3 linked regions of the Coturnix japonica genome follow. The protein of the gene in region 2 purifies or fractionates together with the protein of the main gene of each other region. This does not show direct contact. Links are inferred from orthologs where the notes say so. Each region holds a gene or a part of one and is shown on either strand. Other genes may lie near its edges. The genes, in order: WWC2, PTPN14 and YWHAE.

Region 1 (6,124 bases), on a different chromosome or scaffold from region 2:
CAGCTCCCTGGAAGATGAAAGCAGCAATAGAAACATCATTACCTGTCCTCGTCAGCACTAAGAAAACTCTTACAGTGCACAAGCAGCAAAGCTGTCTGCTTTCTGCTCATCCAATGTTTCTCACGCACTGCCTTGGTTACAGAGTTAGCGAGTCCCCTAGAGACACTCTCGGACAAGCATACCATGAATGATTTTAAATACATCCATGTATTGGAAGCTGCTCCTTCCCAGCAGAAAGAGAAGCAGAGGCAGAAAGAAAGTGCTGTTTCTTTTTTTCCATTGCAGCTCATTCCTTGCCACTTTGATGTGAGTGCAGACAAGCATTTAAATAAAGACCTGTTGCAAGTGCAGAATTTGTGATGCGGAATTCATTTTAGAAAAGACATCAATGTAGCAATGTATTTTATGTCAGTGACGGTGAGTAGTGAAGCACAGACTATTTACTATGCAGAAAGCAAGACGCGAGGAGCAATAACACCCATATATTTAGTCAGTGAAAAAGCTGCTACAACTCCCACATTCTCACTGTTCTGTCTCCTCTTCCTCAAACTTACACCTCAAGTTCCCTCCCCTTTCAACCATCAGCCTTCCATACGGTAACCTAAGAGTTTGCAGAGAGCAATCACTGTTGAACAGAGAAACAAAACATTAAAAAAACGCAGAACAGAGCAATTCCAATAACCAACACAGCACTCCTAGAAACACACAAGTCAAATCACTTTTGCCCTTGCAAGTGTGAGCTACTCTAATGTCAGTGGGGTTACTCAGAGAGGGCAAAAACAAGAACTGAGCCTCAAGGTTGAAGCTGATGTGAGATTTTCTTCCTGTTATACATAAGATATTATAGTAACAGACCTAAACCATACATATAGTAACACGCACTATCAGAAGGTCTAAAAAAGCAGATGAAAAAAGTAGGGTAAATTAAAAATAATAATAATAAAAATCACAAATTGTTCCATTAAACTTTGGAATATGGCATTTTGTCTTTCAGTTTATTTCTAGACTATTTCATACCAGTAACACTGAGACTCCCAGCTGTTCCCAAATACACCTGCTGGCCCACAGACACACGGCACAAGTCTCATTGTATGAATACTGGAGGCTAGTACTTTCTAAATCAAAGTGGATTAAAAAGGATCTTGAAACATCATGTAAGACATTTCTGTATAAAAATATCCAGGGGATGCTGTACCACAAAAGCAGAAGAAAAAAAAAAAGTCAATACAACAATACCACACTGCTTCTACACTTGCTGTAGAAATGAAGGACTTTGGGTCCACAAGTACTTTATGAAAACTTTTTAACCTCCATCACAGAATGAAGTTGAAATCAAAGCCCTGAAGCGTCAGACCTCAGACCTTCTGTAGGATGCATTACCTCCGCTTTGACAAGTTAAGGTGAGCTGCAGTAACAAGGCAAATCTAGATTGTACTGTACTGACAAACCTGGAAGATCACATGTCAGTTTTACTGACATGGAGCCTTCATTATGTTTGTATGGTTTCAGAATACACATTTTCTAAATACCTGGGAAACAGAAAGGACTCTCAAGCAAAGCCATCTCGAGGCCAGGCCACCAATACAAACAGATTGTAAATACAGATACTGTAAATACAGGTAATGTAAACTGCAGATTAAATGTGCTTGTCAGTTTCCTGTGAGGGCGATTCAGCTCCACGGCTGAGCCATGTACATTAAGTTAGGAATTCCATAGCACAAAATCCCTCTGCTTGTTTTCCATGAGTGAAGAGTGAAAGCAGTTATTTCAAACACCGCACTCTCTCAAGAAGGTCTTTACTTCCTCAGTTCTCATGACAGACCATCGAGTCTCAGGATTCAATTTCTCCTTCACCTGTAATCAATGTATTAATGGAACAACACTTATCCCGTACCTACAGGATGGCAAGCAGTGCACTGCTACTCCCTTAGCTGTATAGTCTACTAATGACAGCAAAGACTCAAATGTTACCGCCAAGTATGTGTATCCTTGAACTCTTCAGGGCCAGAGAACACAAAGAATATAATTCTAAATTAGTATATTCCTGAGGCGCAATTGTAACAAGTAGGTCCTCAAATGTCACTTTTTGCTTCACCTTGATTACACCGCCTCACCATCTGCTTTGCAAAGAGAAATTCAAAGTCTACCACCGAGTGACTCCTTAAATACACTACTTCTAGAGATGGGAAAGACAGAACTTTTTTATTGTCCGCTGTAAAAAAATAAAAATCAATGACTCAAAAAGGCCCATTTATCACAGGTGTAATTAACAACACCGTCCCGTACACTTTACCACCTCACTAATATTTACAAGGCATTTGAATTCCTTTGCACTTGAAAGCACGTTAAGCACGAAGTTCACCCTGGCTGGAATTTGCTGCTGCAACAAGTGTGAGAGTGGAGCGGGCCTGTGCAGCGTGTGCTGCTTGTCAGCGCTCCGCACTGCGAGCCCAGGGCAGCTCCAGCCTCTGAGAAACACAAACCCGGGCTCTCATTTATAATGCAGGACAGCTTGTTCCACGCGTTCATAACTCCTTCTGCAAGTTTCTGATAACTCGAATGGACCGTTTTCAACATCACGTTACACACAGTGCGGAAACAACGTGGATATATACACAAAGTTCTCTCTTCCCATTACTTTCCAGGAGCGCTGCCTCACAACTCGAGGCAGGTACCCGGGCGTTTCCCCGCACGGTGAGCGGGGCAGGACCGAAGGCCACCGCCTCTCCCCAGCTGGAAGAGCTGCCCCGATGACTCTCCCGCTCGCAACACGCGAGTTGCCCACGCCGCTCAGCAGAGCGTTTTGGAGGCGAGTTTTGCCCGTTTCAGCCCTCAGAGCCGGAGGAGGCTGCGGCTGGCGGGGTGCTGAGCCGTGCCGAGGCCTAGCGGGCACGCGAGGCCTGCAGCTGCTCCCCCGGCCGCGCCGTGCTCCTCGCGCCGGGACGGCCGGGCTGGAGGCCCGTGGTGCCGCACCGAGTCGGCTCCGTGCTCGGGGCGGGGGGCGGGATGGCGGCCGGCCGCTCGGCCAACTTTTGTACCTGTTGGGCGGCTCGGTCGCCCTCGGCGCCTTTTGTCCCGGGCTCCGCGGCCTCAGGCCGGCAGCACCCCGCTGCAGCCCCCGCCTCGCACCCACCTGTCCCTGGGGTCGATCCAGCTGGTCTGCTTGGTGTTGTGGTCGATGTAAAAGACTTTGCCGTCGTAATCCCTCGCCTCCTCCCAGCCATCGGGTAAGGGGAGCTGCCCATTCCCCGCTTTCCTAGGCATGGTCGGCCGGCGGGGGCGGCTGCTCCATAGGGACGGAAAGAAAGAAGGGAAGCGGGAAAAGCCCCCACCCGAGCCGAGGGGACGCGGAGGGGGCCCCGCAGCCGAGCCCGGCCCGGAGCCGGAGGACGACGCTGGCGGCAGCCCGGGGAGCAGCTCCTCCAACGCCGGCTCTCGGCCCACCGTGCCGGGGCTGCCGCGGGCGGGCGGGCGGCAGCCCAGGTCAGGGATCCCGGCGGAGCCCAGCTGCCGTCTGTGCGCGGGGAGCCCGGCTGAGCCCCGGGCGGCTGCGGCCGCCGCTCATTAGCATGAGATTAGCATCCACCTCATCTGCATGCACATTCCTCCCGCCGCATTCCTCAGGGTTAACCCTGCCGGCGCTGCCCCCACACCGCGCCCGCGGGACGGGGGGAAACCCAGACCCGGGCGGGGTCGCGGAAAAGGCACGAACAAGTTGGCGGAGGAAACGGGGGCGGGAGCAGAAGGGCCGAGGCAGGGCCTGGGGCTGACCGCGGGAGCTGCCTACGAGAGGAAGGGGAGAGCGGAGCGGGGGCGGCGAGGTGCGCCCGGCGTTCCCTTTGTCCCCGAGGCGCCGTCAGGTGGCGCAGCCCGCGGCCCTCGGGGCGCTCCAGTGCGGGCGCTGAGCTGAGAGGAGCGGAGCGGGAGGGCGGCTGTGTCCCCGGGCTGTGTCAGTGCGTTTCTCAGTGCGCTCCTCTGAACTCGCTCTAAAACCCCGCTAAGACTCGAGGGTTGGTAGAAAGACCTCGGTGCTTAAAACAGCCTGGTTTTCCCTTTCACTTTAATTTTGAGCTTTTTCTCTTGAACTCCGAGAAGACTTTAAACTTTTCGATCGTTTGGTTTTGTGGGTTTTTTTTTGTTTTTTTTTTTAACAGGTGCCCTTCTGGCCTGAAAGGCAGCCCGCGCACGTTGCATTGAGAAGCCAGGTGTGAATTACGGCGGTAGTGAGGCAGGTTGCCATGGCTCGGCTGATAGAAGGTAACCTGATGAGCTCTGGTAATTAGTTTGTGCATCTGATCCCCAGGGTTTGGCTTAAGAAGTGGAACTACAGAGGGGGAATATGACTGCTGTTTGATAACTGGGACTCCTGAGGAGCCCAGGGTTTGCTCCCTGCTTTCTAGATCGTTTTCTTTATACTTTCCTGGATTGAATAACACAAAGTTTTTGTGGGAAAGAAGGTTTGGAATCCAGACCTGTGGGTTTGTTGTTGATGGTTTGCTTCTTTATTTATTTATTTTCCCCTATCCTTCTACAGCTTAGTACTCAGTTCTATGGATTATTCTCCTGACACAATTTGTGCTTACTAAGCACCAGGCTGATGCAGCGCCCAACAGGGTTTTGGATTCCACTTCAGAGGCCAAACACCCAACCATTAGGTGTTGCAGCGATTGATTTACAGGCATCCAAATCTCATTGTTGGATCTGCTCCTAAACAGAAGAAAAATAGAAAGGAGATATGATCTTAATTTAGCTAATTGTTGATCTGGTGAAGACATTTGCTATCTTAGTCATTCTAATCATTTTATTCTGTAATACTAATCTGCTGTTCCATCTCTGTAAATAGCTGTATGCCTCCCAAAAACACCTGCTGGTTCACCTTCAGACTCTCTTGACGATTTTATTTTCACATCTGCTGAATTAAGGCAATGTGTAATGAAAGTACATACTTCAAGTAAGGCCCTGGTGGTTAACACTGGAGAAGAACTGATGTGTGCAAGCCTCTGCATCTCCATAAGAGTTCAGCTACAGAAAGTAACAGGATCATTGCCTACTAAAGTGCCAGACTCATTTATTTTCATTGAGAGTATTATGTTTCAGTCAGCTGACTGGTTTATAATGTCCAGCCTTGTTTTTCACCAGAGTGAAGAAGTTCTTTTACTATCTATTAAAACTTCTATCACTTTCAAGAGTCTAATTTTATAAACTTGCTTTTAAGTGTCATCCTACAGTGAGAAAGTACATGAGACAATTGTGAGACATGATAAGCTGGATTTCTGTTTTAGTTTATCAGTAATGTTTTTTGTTATGTAAATTGAGAGAAAAGCTACTGAGGTTATTATTTTCTCTGGAACCAGCTGCTAGTTACCGATCCTTAGTTTGATCATCCACTAAAGTGATGTCCCTGAAGAAATTTCCAGTCGTTACAGTTCTCATTCATAATAGCCACAAATGGTTCAGCATCCAGAGCTGTAGCTGTCTCCCTGAAAAGCTGCATTATAGTTCAGTCTCCAGTGCTTTCAAACAGCATTTGAATGCAGAATAAATTACGGAATATGCTGTCGGAATTAATGAATCTCTAAAAAATCTGAGAAATGCTTGAATATATGCGTATTGTTTATGCTGCTATTTATTTTTTAGTCACTTAAATACTATACAAACCAATCTGGACAGCCAGTATGACTTCCCTGACACGCGGTTATTGTAGAACTGTGAATATTCTCAGCATTATGGATATTGGCTTATTTATAAGCACGGCGGTTTTTATCTAAGACAGCCAAATCTTCAAGAAAAACCAAAACCAACTCCAAAACAAACAAAAAAACCCAACCAAGTAGGACTCCATCGTGCCTGGAGATTCTTAGTTTTAAAAACTGTTTTTAAAGTCCTGTGAAGTAAAACTGTGCACAAGGGAAGGAAAGCAAAGGAGGAAGAGTGCTACTTTTCCTACTGTCAGCTCCTGGTGCATGGGTACGGCTGACAGTAAAAGGTCTTTGATACCATTTCTAGCTGAATGTATGAAGCAATGAAGCCAGTGAACAGCTTTGATAATACTGACTCTCGTTCTGCTTTCCTCTTTACTCCAAAGCCTGCTCATTCCACTGATGTTCAAGAAGTCAGTGCAGTG
Region 2 (6,124 bases):
CCAGTAACATGAACGAGTAATGTGATTATTCCCTCCAACATGCATATTCTTGAATTTATCGACATCATCTGCTATGCTTCCCTTTTACCCAGCTTTCTTGGATTCCCTTTACAATTTCTCAGTCTTCTTCAACCTTGCCTAATCCAAATACTTTTGCACCATTAGCAAATTTTGGCACAGCATCATTCACCTAGTTTATTAGATCACCAACATACACATTCACCACCCTCTTTTCAGAGTTGTTTCTACATCATCTGGTAATTTAAGGTATACAGACAAAAAAAAATAATAATAATAAAGGAAAAGAAAAAGGGTTCTTAGTCATAAAGGGCATCATTTCAGCAAGGTACTGGTGAAATAAACAGGAAAGGAGCATTCTTTGAGAACTAGGAAGCGGGGCTGCAGTTTCCAAAAGCCTGGCACTGGACAAAGCTCAGTATCTAAACTTCTGATTAGCAATGCCTCCATGCTACAGAACATCACAGTGGGCTGGAGGGCAGCATTCTCCCAAGGATATCACCCCCATCCAACATTTCACACACCTGACTCTCTCAAGAAAAATCCTCTGTTTAGAAACTCTTTTTAGAGCTAGTTACATTTATGCTTAATCAGTGGTAAATTTGTAGTCTCAAGTTTTTACCAAAAGTTGTTCATCTAAAGTGGATTATAATATATATAATGCTTACTAATTTCAATGACAACGACGACAGCGGAAAACACATTTTAAAACAAGCACGCACGTTCCTTTTATGTACACATTTTGCACTGCATCAGTCTGGAGACCTTAATTCCAGGGGACACTTCCAGCATTGATAAGAGCTGGCCTTGGGAAATACTTTGAAGAGCAATCTTTAAGCCTTTTTGTTTTTAAACTCTTCTCTGTATCTAAAGCCAAAAATTCCAATCAGTGTAGCTCAGAAGGTAAACCACTGTACCTACATAGTTACAGCACCTTCAATTGACCACCATCTCCACCAGCTCCCTAAGATGAGGCCAGATTTCATTATAGTATGCACTAACAGCTGAAGATCAGGAAATTATAATTTTTCTACTCCTTTTGTTTCTTTACACACAACCACCCTTGAATTCATAAAGTTTGCTTAAAAAAAAACGTTCTACTGTATGTCAACAAACAAAACAATAATAGCAAATTTATTGAAAATCATCCTCATTGATTCAAAAGGAAGGTAACTCAACCACAATAATGTGCACAAAGTAGAAGTAAAAGGCATAATATGAACCCACTGGAATCACACTATTTCTTGAAAGAGATGAAGACCAATCAGGATAACTCCCATAACCTTACCGAGGCCTAATGCCACCCTTCTGACACTTTAACACCCCCCCCCCACACACACACACACACAGCCCAAGGCAGAGGACAGGGGCAGAGTGACAGGGGACAGCTTCTACCTTAAGGCCCGTTCCTACATCTGTAGGTAACCTTATAAACTCAGAGCATGCTGCAAACCAGAAGGCTGTGCAGCAGCCCTGTGCAGAAGCTGGGCAGCATGGGTGGACAAATGATGCTTGCTCTGGGCACATAGAGAAGCACAGACACAGGCAGCCAAAATCACCCCATGAGTTTGCTCCAGCATTAGGCACAGGAGGGCAAACATGCCGAGATGGAACAGAGCTTTTTCAGACAAAGTTTCAGAGAACCTCAAGCATGGATTCCTCATACGAGTAGCAACAACTTCAGTGCCACCGCATGTCAGCAAGATCTGCTCTTCTGGAGCTCCAGAGGGCAGTAGGCCAAGGTGTTATGCAATTGCAGTGGACCTGGACATCAAAGAGACTTTTTAGCATAGAAGTTAAGCCTTTATCAAAATCTTCTTACAATTGAGCTGGATACACATGCACAAATATATTGCACACTAAACATTATAGCCTAGTTCTTGTGTACATGTCTGTAGCTATTAATAATAAAGAAATTCCACAGTTTCCAAAGCAGCATTCAGGAATATGAATTCAAGCACATAGGCGACTCTTTGAAGGACTAAGACTTGTGACCCACTGAGAACTTGCTACGATCTGCACATCAGCAGCAGTAACATCAGAAACACAGAATCAAACACAGCCTTATCGAGTACGAGGAGAAACAAGTGAAGACTAACCCCTTAGGCTGCAGCGGTACCAAACAGACTTAGAACAAAGAAACAGCATAGTTAGCAGAAGTACGTAAGCAAATATTTAAATATATATATATATATATATATATATATCAAATGCTTTCTTCAAGACTGGAGGAGCCACTGGAGGCCGAGGCAATCTGCTAAGTGCATGGGAACAGATCTACTTTGCAGGAAGCCAGTCCCCTCTTACACGGTGCTAAGTGACTGACAGGATGGACAAGGAGAGCGGTCAAGGCAAGCACCATGGTTGATTACCAGGTAATCAACTCTGCTCCAAAACTATTTCTTCTGCTATCTCCAAAATGTTTATCAGACCTGCTTAAAACCATTCACCAACGTAGACAGAGAAGCTTAGAGAGCAGCCCCAGCCTACACCATGGCAACTCCACAGCCATGCCCTCAAGCCCAGCGCACACAGGTACCATAGAGGACCAGATGGCCACAGGCCCAGGGAGCACCTTCCTGCTGATGAGGCCACGCAGGCAGCGCTCCCAATGCTCCTACTGCCACCCACTGCATACACACAAGTGCCCTCTGCCTGCGAGCAGCTCTGCACAGCCTCCCTGAAAAGCTGAACAGCCTCTGAACAAAAAGTTCAGAGAAGTGCTGTCAGCAACAGAGCAGGGCCTACAGCTTATGTGCACTGCTCTGATACCAACACGCCGAATGTTACACCATATAAAGAGTGCTGCCTGCCAGACACTGACCTTCCAGAGAATGAGGGATGTGTGATACCCGCAGACTGAACATCACAGACCGACAAGTGGCCCCCAAAGTGCCTTCCCCACGATGGAGAAGCCGCAGGTGGCACTTGGGGGCGGGGGGAGCCATTTTGCAGGCAGATTTCCCCGGCTCCGAGGAACTTCAGCATGTAACAGTGTTTCTGGAATAGCCGGAGCCAGCAGTGGTTAAGAGCTCCAAGGAAAAGAGAGAAGCGGCTTCTGGCAGAACAATTTCTTTCAGCTATGGTTTCAGGCCACATGCCAGAAATCCCAGAAAACTTTCTGGGCCGGCAGCACGTTGAATCAGAGCTTCTACCGACCTCTGTTTGCTGCCACCTCGGTAAAGTTACCAACAACCGAAGAGATGCTCACGATAGAAGCATGTGGTAACGTGATGCAAAACACAGATAAAACCCTCTCGATAGGAAGACGGCAGCACACGGTCAGTCAACACGCCACACGTACATTATGTAAGCCCGTCCCAAACGCGTTCCGTAAAGCGAGCCCGGAGCCCTCCCGGGCACCGCCGCTGTGCCACTGCCCCCCGCCCGGGCACAGCTCGGTGCAGCAGTAACAAAGGCGAAGGTACCGGGTCGGAGAGTGCAGCGGGCACGGCGATAGAACCCGAGGATCCGCGAGCACCCACCAGCGCCGCGTGTCCCGCAGATCGTAGCCCTTTGCCGGCCGGGCTGTCCGAGCCCGCTGATGGCAGCTGGCCGCCTGGCACTCCCTGCCCGAGCTGAGCTATTTTCGTCGGTTACGAACAGGCGAGGAGCTGCAAGAGCAGCGCGCAACGAGCGACGAACACGGAGCACGGAGCGGAACGCGCTCCCGGGACGGCTCGGAAAGCGGCGGGACTCAAGTGCGGCCAACTCGGCGGCGGCTCCTTACCTGCTGGGCGGCGGCTCCGGCTTCGTGCGCTATCCCGGCCCGGAAGGCGGCCGCCTTCCTCCCTGCGGGGAGACCCGCTCCCGCCGCCCCGGCCCGGCCACGGCGAGCAACTTCGGCGGGGCGGGCGCAGCTGGGGCCGCCGCCGGCGGCGCGGGGGGCCGGGACGCCCGGAGCTGCTGCCGTCGCCCGAGGGCTGCGGGCAGGAGGGAGAGAGGGAGGGGACTGCCGGCCCGTGGGGGCGAGCGAGCGAGCGAGCAGGAGGCGGCGGGGCCGGGGCCGGGCTGGGGCCGGGGCGGCGCGGGGAGTCACGGCCCAGGAATGCCAGGAATGTGGGGCGGCCGCTGCGGCCGCGGGGCCCGGAGACGTCGGGACGCGACTTGGGATTTCTTTTCTTTTTTAATTCTTTTTTTCTTTTAATTCTTTTAAAAAAATATTTTTTTTTTTCCCCCGCCCTAACGAAAGAGGAGGGCAGAAACCCACCCAGAGGAGGAGAAGGGAAGAGGAGGGAGGAAGAGGAGGGCGCAGGCTACTGCCAATGGGGGCGGCCGCCGGCAGCAGCCTTCGCAAGGAGAGCGGCGCTGCCAAGTTTGGGGCAGATCCGCAGCGCCTGCCCGCCCCTTCCCCGCCTCCCTCCGCGCGTGGCGAAGAGGGGACGGCCCGGCCGCGGCCTCCGCGCACGTGTCCCGGCCCGCGGCGGCGGGGCCCCAGCAGGGGCGAGGCCGAGGCTGGGGTGGGGGCGAAGAACGGCACGGCTCGGAGCGAGCACCTTCGGAGGGACGTGGGGCCGGAGGAGGCTGGGCGGGAGTGGGCCGGGAAACTCCTGCGCTTTCCTCTGCCTTCCTCGTGTAACTCACACAGAATCGCAGAATGACCCGGGTTGGAAGGGACCTCAAGGATCATGTAGTTCCAACCCCCCTGCCTGGCAGGGCCACCAAACATACACCTTTACTAGATCAGGTTGCCCAGGGCCCTGTCCAACCTGGTCTTGAACACCTCCAAGGACGGGGCATCTACAACCTCCCTGGGCAGCCTGTTCCAGGGCCTAACCACTCTCCTAGTGAAGAACTTCCCCCTGACATCCAACCTAAATCTTCCCTCTTTTAACTTAAAACCATTTCCCCGTGTCCTGCTATTGTCAGCCCTTTCAAACTGCATGAAGCATTCAGGATGCCTAGTGTTAGGCAGCTGTGGGAAAGCCCTTCCCATACCTATTGCAAGGAGAAGGGGCAGAGTGCAGCAGGTTGTAGGAAGCAAGGAGCACCATCATTGCTTCGGCCAGATAGCACCAGGCCACAACACCTAAGATTGGTCAGTTAGTAATGACATGAGGCCTCCTTGCTTGTCATAGCTGATGGTCAGTTTGCAATTCCTTTTGCATTATATTGCAATGTTACCCACATTCCCATAAGTATATCTAAATACTAGTAGGACACCTGTGTAAACCTCAGGTGGAGGTGTCTGTCTAAAACCGTGACAACAGGACTTCTACAAACGGGAAAGCTATGAAAAAACAGTACAAACTGAGGATTGAAACTATTTTTTAGTTGCTGAATGCTTTTGCTGCTTGTACATTTTACTGAAGGAGTATGTGAATAGATTCAATGCAGTCAGTATTAATCGGATTAATAATGATAAGAGGATCAAGAGCTGAGTGAGAGAGAAATAGTGTGGATTCTTGATTTTGATAGATAAGTAATTGTATTTAAATACTGTCTATTGAATCGTGGACCCATGCCTTACCTCTGGCATAATATTAGTATAATTACATTTTGCAAGGTGAGTCCTTTTCATCTAAGACTTTCAAGTGTTTTATAAGTGCAGACCTAAATGAAGTGAGTAATTATCCCCATTTTACATTGGGCTACACTGAGGCATTAAGAAGTGACACCATTTAAGATTGTTACTTGAACTAGATTAGACCACATATAGATACAGAGCTCTCAGTAGCAATCTGGAAGCACCATCAGGTGTCAGATGATAAGATGAAGCTCAGATCTGCTATGCTCTGAAGTTACACAGTTCAATTTTATGCCAGTAAACAGCTTCCCCCTCCCGAGTGGAAAGCTGCATGAGAAAGCAGCGTGCACCAGAACTCAGACTGAACTTGTTAGATTCCTGTCATGTTCTCTGCACAGTGAGAGAGGCGTAAATTCTTTGTGTTTAAGATGGTAAGGATTGACTTTTGCAGCTATGCCTCAACGTGAGCTTGTGGTTTAGCAGCTGGCCACTTTTACTTTCATGGTCTGCAATTGAAGAAAACTTATTCAGTGACCTTAATTGCAAATGAAGTTGCAAGAAACACAAGCATGTTCACAAATTCTGGATGGGAGGTTTTATGCATTGCCTACCTGCAGCATGATTCCCTAGAATAATGAA
Region 3 (6,033 bases), on a different chromosome or scaffold from region 2:
TCAATTATCTTCTTCCCAGCTGTAAACAGAGCTATTATCCTCACCTGCTACACCCTGGGTAAACTTCAAATGATGTATTTCAAGATCTGTGGCACAAATCTGTTGGCAGGACTGAAGCACCCACAGGATTCACTCGGAGCTTACCTTCTATCCTAGCATGCTTCTCTACTGATGAGAAGAAAGGTGCTACCTAGCTTCTGCAACAGAGAGTTAGTTTTGACATTCAGCAGTCCATGAGAACGCAGATACATACAATCTTTTGATGTGAGAAAGTAAAGAGTTAGTGATTTCATAAACCAACGCAATTTTATCAACTCCAGTTGTTTCCCAGAAAAGACATTTTATATATATTACGCAATTGGGAACCATCTTTGAAGGAACTCAAAGGGTTTTCACTCAGGGTGGTGACGCACTGGAACAGGTTGCCCGAGGAGGCTGTGGATGCCCCATCCCTGCAGGCATTCAAGGCCAGGCTGGATGTGGCTCTGGGCAGTGGCGACCCTGTACATAGCAGGGGGGGTTGAAACCAGATGATCATTGTGGTCCTTTTCAACCCAGGCCATTCTGTGGTTCTATCAAGTGCAGGTAAATGTGATTTTTTTTTTCCTCAAGTACGATTTGTCACAAAGCTTTCTCTAATACAAGTAGGCTGCCCGGCATTTTGTGATCTGTCATGACACGCCTGGGTAGATCCGTAAAGACAGACACCCAAATCTCTTACTATCTCTAGGGATCACAGCTTTAAGCATTATTTACACTGCAGAGGCACCTAAGAAAGTTGTCCTCTTAATCTGGGCCGATACACCAAGGGCTGTACAGAGACAGAACTACATTCCCAACAACTGGCAGGCACAGCCTGCAAGGCTTCAGAACTTAAGTGGGTCATGTAACTAAAAAAAACCCAAAAAACTTATTAGATTCCTACCTTAGAAGCTGCCTCAAATGCCATGGACCATGGCTGTTCTAACCACACAGCACGCTGAGCCTCACTGAGAAAGATGTGGCAGAACGTAACGCTATCCTAACATTAAACATCAAAAATTGTCATTTTACATTCATATTCAAGTCACAGAACAGGTTTCTATTCCAGCACATTTGTAGCCAGTACTTACCATCAGTAGTATCTGGAAGTTATTCACTATTACCTCACCATCATGTATCTCAAAGGTAAAACTAAAGAATGAAACTAAGCATCACTTCACTTCCCCACAGCATTTCATTCACATTGAGCAGCCTCAGCACTTACTTTCATGTAAATGAGAATATACTCTTCACTTTTTAATTGCTTCCAACTGAACGATACAGAATTAGATGCTAAACCTGTACCTACAGTATTTATTTTTCCAGGCCAGGGACAGAAAAAAAGGCGGAAAGCTATAGAACAACATGGAGAGTTAAGGGATGCACCTTAAATTTGTTGATTCAACTCCATGCCAACAAATTCTGCAAGTCTGAATCCCACAATATTGCTTTAAAGATAAGAACACTATGATTATCATTACCTCCTCAGTGAGGGTGTTCTTATTAACACTCAGAAGCCACACAGAAGCCCTCTGAATTCTGACCTAGGCAATTCATTCTTCAAACACCCACTGGAGCATTGGGATTGGAAGCCCACTGACTGCCTTTGTGTGGCATTTCTATCTCTATCAACCTTTTTTGATAAGGAAATCAGGCTGTGCTGCAGATTTCTACAATAAGGGAAGGTCTGATTGCTTTCCAAAGAAGTGACTTCCCATTCAGCTAGGAAAGCATCAGTTATACCTCAAAAGGATGATGTATCCCCCAAACATCCTTAGCCTGGAGTTCCATTCAAACCACAGCTCACCCCTGCGCTGAGGCTCATCTGTACCAGGTGAACAAACCCTCCCCCACACACACCCCAATACTGCTGGATTTGTGGTCTTTGTGGAAGATGGCAGCAATGAGAACAATGCACCTTCCCATCCCACACTCCTAAGGAGACAAAAAAACCAAGATACCCCAAATCTACACCCCCCTCCTCAACCACTTGTACCCACAGATGTTGCTCTCCTACTATGAGCTGCATCTTACTTGAAGGGGTGGGCACAAGTCACCCCACAAAACCTGCTTTGGGGGACGTTTTTTCCCCCAAGTCCCTGCAGTTACAACAAGGAGACTATCTGGCTGCTGTCACTCAGTACGATTCTTATTCCTACCCCATTTCTACCAGAACATTCACTGCAGATGGTCTTAATTACTCCTTCATTTCTGTTTTCCTCCCCCAAAAGGTGTATTTCTCAGCTTTGGAATCCCATTATCAGAAGTTTTCTAAGCAGTAACTCAGAGAACAAAGCCTAATTCTCACCAGCTGACTTCCCTGCTCTGTGAAAACCCTGATCAATTAAAGGACCCAAAGCATCTCCCCACTTCTAAATGAAACCTAACTGTACTCCCACCCTTTACACACACACCGGCTTTTCTTCCACTTGAAATACAGATCTAAGGGCAGAAATAACAACCCCATTGAGAAAATTAAAGGCCCTTTCTTCTATAGGCAAGAAAAGCACCTTGAAGGGAACAGTCACACGGCAGACATTTTGGGGGCAAGAAATACCATCCAGGGCTGCCAGCTCCTCCCCACCGCCCCTTTTTTTTCCCCAAGATATAAAGGGATCAGAGCTCTAATTTCATAAGGCAAATGAGGGAAGGGGGGGGGGAGGAAAAAAGAGACAAAGTGGGAACGTAAAATGGTCTGTAATGATTTCCAGCGTGTAATGAAAGCATGTGTTCTTCCTTCAGGTAATGACGGGCAGTGCCAGACGGCTGCAGGGTGAATGAGAGCCGTGCCTCCAATGGAAAGCGAAGGGAGAGAAAGAGAAGCGCCATCCCGCTCCCTCGGGTCCCTCCGGCATCGCCCCCCCCGAGGGGCCGGCACGAACCTTCCGGAGAGCGGGGCGTTGTCTGCGGCGAACCGAGCTCAGCCCCACAGCGCCGAGCTCCGCGGGGCCGCGGCCGGAGGGAAACGCAGCACTAAGGAGCCGCCCGGCACCGCCACAGCCGCCCGCACGGCGCTAAGCAGTGGGGTCTCTTTGTCGGACCCCCGAGGCGGGGGCGGCTCCCCCCTTCCCCCCCCCAGGACTCGCCCTTCGCGGCCGCCATTTTCTTCCCGGCTTCTGCCGCCACCGCCCCCCGTAGCGGGCCACGCCCAGGCCGAGGCCGCCCGCTCATTCAGGGCCCCCCATCCCCGGTTCCGCGGCCCTCGGGGCGCTCCCCGGCGCCATTTTGTCGGCGCCCCCCTCCTCCGCCCCTGCCCCCCCCACCCCCGCCCAGCCGCCATTTTGTGGCCGCTCCCTCCCTCTCTCTCCCCTTGGCCTCTCACGGCCTTCCCGGCCGCCGCTCACCATCGTAACGTTCAGCCTGTTCGGCCAACTTAGCCTGATAGACGAGATCCTCCCGATCGTCCATGTCCTGCAGGCGGAGCGGCGTCGGGGAGCGTACGGGGCGGATGGAAGCCGATGGGTCTGTGGGGCTCAGCAGCTACCAGCTCGCTGCTCTCCGGGCAAATATGGCGGCAGCACCTCCTCCCGCTGCATCCGGGCACTTCCACAACCGCGCGCATGCGCCCTACGGCATCCCATAGCAACGGCGGCTCCTTAGTAACGGGCGGGATGTGGCCGGGCCGGGGTTGGGACCGGCCGCCATTTTGCTGTTGAGCGGCGGCCGTGAGGATGCGGATCCGCCGCGATGTGGAGGCCGAGGGCCGCGGTGCGGAGCCGGTTGGGGTTGGGGGTGCTGGTAGGGAGCCCTGCTAGTGTGTTAAAGAGCCGGGTGGGGGTGCGGGGAGGATCGGAGTGGCCGGGTTTTCCCTCAGTCTGGCTGCGCTTTTCTCCTTCCTCTCAGATCTGGTGTATTCAAAGTACAGCGGCCTTTCCCTGTTGTATTCGTCCCGGGTATAGGAATGCCTGTAGAAAGGCAGGCTGTGTGATGGGGGAGCGCTGTGGCTGCCATCACTGACTGATCACTGAGGGGATGGAACTGGAACGTGAGAGGAATGTGGCATCAATTCCTCACAGAGGCCTGAAATCCACCGAGCAGGCATTGAAAGCGTTATGATAACACCCCCCCGTTTCCCAAATCAAAGAAAAAGCAAAAGAAAAGTGATTCTGTTTGGCTAAGATAAACGTGAGGTTTGTTCAGGGTGGGTATGAGCTCGTATCCGCTATGAACAGGCTCGTATCTCTTTTTCCAGTGTCTCCTTGGATGGGCTGAAGGCTCTTGGCCTTCCTGAGGTGTGAGAGCCCACAGAGGCCATTGCAGCTTCTGATACGCAGCAGAGACAGAGCATCCCCGGCACCTCTTGGACAGAGCTGAGTATCCATTTGTGTTCTATGTTGTGCCCACTGATCAGAGGCACAGGTTTAACCATCGGTTTATTGTCACCTGATTCATTTCATTGCATTATTTCAAGTTAACGAAGACTTAAGGTTGTGTAAAACTGACAATTGGATGGTTTGCTTATGGATGTACCTAAAATATTACTATGATTTTTATAGAATTATATAGAATCCCAGCGGATTACGGTCAGTGTATTTGTGTAACACTGCGCAACTTACAATCACCTCCGCCCTTCATAAATCTTAACTAAAAAAGCCTATTTTCTCAGCAGCTAAGACTTAGTTTTGTGTGGGACTGTACATGATCAATTCGATTTGCCTCAACGTAGGGACTTTACTTGATCCTCAATTTCCTGATGCAATCCTTGCCTTGTCCTTTGCACACACAACATTTACACACATTGATTGGGCTGCTACTGCAACAGAAAGTCACCACTGCAAGAAGAAGCAATAGAACTCTGCATAAATCCTTCATGACAAAGCCATGGAGACTTGCAAATACCAATAGTGAGGTAGGTGAGCAAGGAGTAAAGCTGAGGGCAGTGCTTCTCCCTGTGGAAATTTATTATATGAGGCTGATGGGCTTATTGTGTGGACAGGAAAACTGGCATCTCAGTATAGTTAAGTGCAAAGTCCCACTCGAGGACTCCACTAAACAGTACTGATGAGGAAAGTTATGTGTAGTAACCTGCCAACTGAATACCAAGTAACTAAAATACTGAATGCTTTAATTGTAATGTAGTGAAACAAATGCCATTGTTGAACATACCAGCAAGAAAGGATTACTGACATCAAGACTCCTCCCTGCCTACTCCCAGAACCAACATACAGTGTAGTAAAGCGTTATTAAAATATATATAGTATATATTTAAAATATATATATACTATAAAGTATAAAATATGGCCTATTCTATGCAGTGAGGGCCTTGTGAGCTAAAGAGCACCCCCAGAAGGCCAAATGTTTAGGAGTATTTTCATTTAAGTCATCTCAAGAACCCCCAAACTATTTTCTAATGCATCCCTACAGTTAGAATTGAGACTAATAACTAACAAGTCTCATTTTTACTTTCTTCCTGAGTCCTCCTCCTGCAATGAGAATAGTTCTCCCTCTCCCCCTGGACTTAAGGAACTCAGTTAGTTACAGCCATTCACCTTTCACACCATCAACCTTTTCTGGTTGATAACTCCTTTTAGTCATCTCATCTTCCTTCTGCAGGTGTTGGGTTTAATTGTTTTAACATAAACGTGCTCAGTTAAAGAATGGGACTTAACAACACTTCTGTTAATGTATTCTTAAACACAAGTATTACAATAACAGCCGATTGAGAATGACACCAAGCCAAAGTTTTGGCTATACTTTTATTTACTTCACATACTATGAACATATACATTACATGCTACAAAAAATAATTAAAAAAAAAAAAAAAAAGACTTTTAACTGTCAAGAAAGTGGATAGTGTTATAATACAATGGCACATGTTCATATTCTTCTTCAAACTGGTTTGGTTAGAATCCTTCCCCAAAACCATTAACAAAACCAAAGTGTTTTATTCTTAAGATGATTAGAAATATTTGCATTATTAACAAATACAATTCAAACAAGATTAACAAGATTTAAACCAGGTCAAATATTAGTAAAAAGGCTGGGGTTTACCAAAATGAAATCTATATTAAA

The links.
Region 1: the proteins of PTPN14 (region 2) and WWC2 purify together in Homo sapiens (affinity purification with mass spectrometry, with the first as the bait; 3 studies listed by BioGRID). This does not show direct contact. The link is inferred for Coturnix japonica from reciprocal best matches to the Homo sapiens genes PTPN14 and WWC2.
Region 3: the proteins of PTPN14 (region 2) and YWHAE purify together in Homo sapiens (affinity purification with mass spectrometry; 3 studies listed by BioGRID and IntAct, with this or other methods). This does not show direct contact. The link is inferred for Coturnix japonica from reciprocal best matches to the Homo sapiens genes PTPN14 and YWHAE.

The regions. Positions count from the first base shown.
Region 1 is NC_029519.1:35,377,172-35,383,295, forward strand, and holds the start of WWC2 (protein WWC2), read right to left. Parts: upstream 3,794-6,124; 5' UTR 3,265-3,793; coding exon 3,134-3,264; intron 1-3,133. UniProt on the Homo sapiens protein: Regulator of the Hippo signaling pathway, also known as the Salvador-Warts-Hippo (SWH) pathway.
Region 2 is NC_029518.1:18,515,699-18,521,822, reverse strand, and holds the start of PTPN14 (tyrosine-protein phosphatase non-receptor type 14), read right to left. Parts: upstream 3,859-6,124; 5' UTR 3,749-3,858; intron 3,613-3,748; exon of another isoform or gene 3,504-3,612; intron 1-3,503. UniProt on the Homo sapiens protein: Protein tyrosine phosphatase which may play a role in the regulation of lymphangiogenesis, cell-cell adhesion, cell-matrix adhesion, cell migration, cell growth and also regulates TGF-beta gene expression, thereby modulating epithelial-mesenchymal transition.
Region 3 is NC_029534.1:3,988,567-3,994,599, reverse strand, and holds the start of YWHAE (14-3-3 protein epsilon), read right to left. Parts: upstream 3,567-6,033; 5' UTR 3,430-3,566; coding exon 3,366-3,429; intron 1-3,365. UniProt on the Homo sapiens protein: Adapter protein implicated in the regulation of a large spectrum of both general and specialized signaling pathways. Binds to a large number of partners, usually by recognition of a phosphoserine or phosphothreonine motif.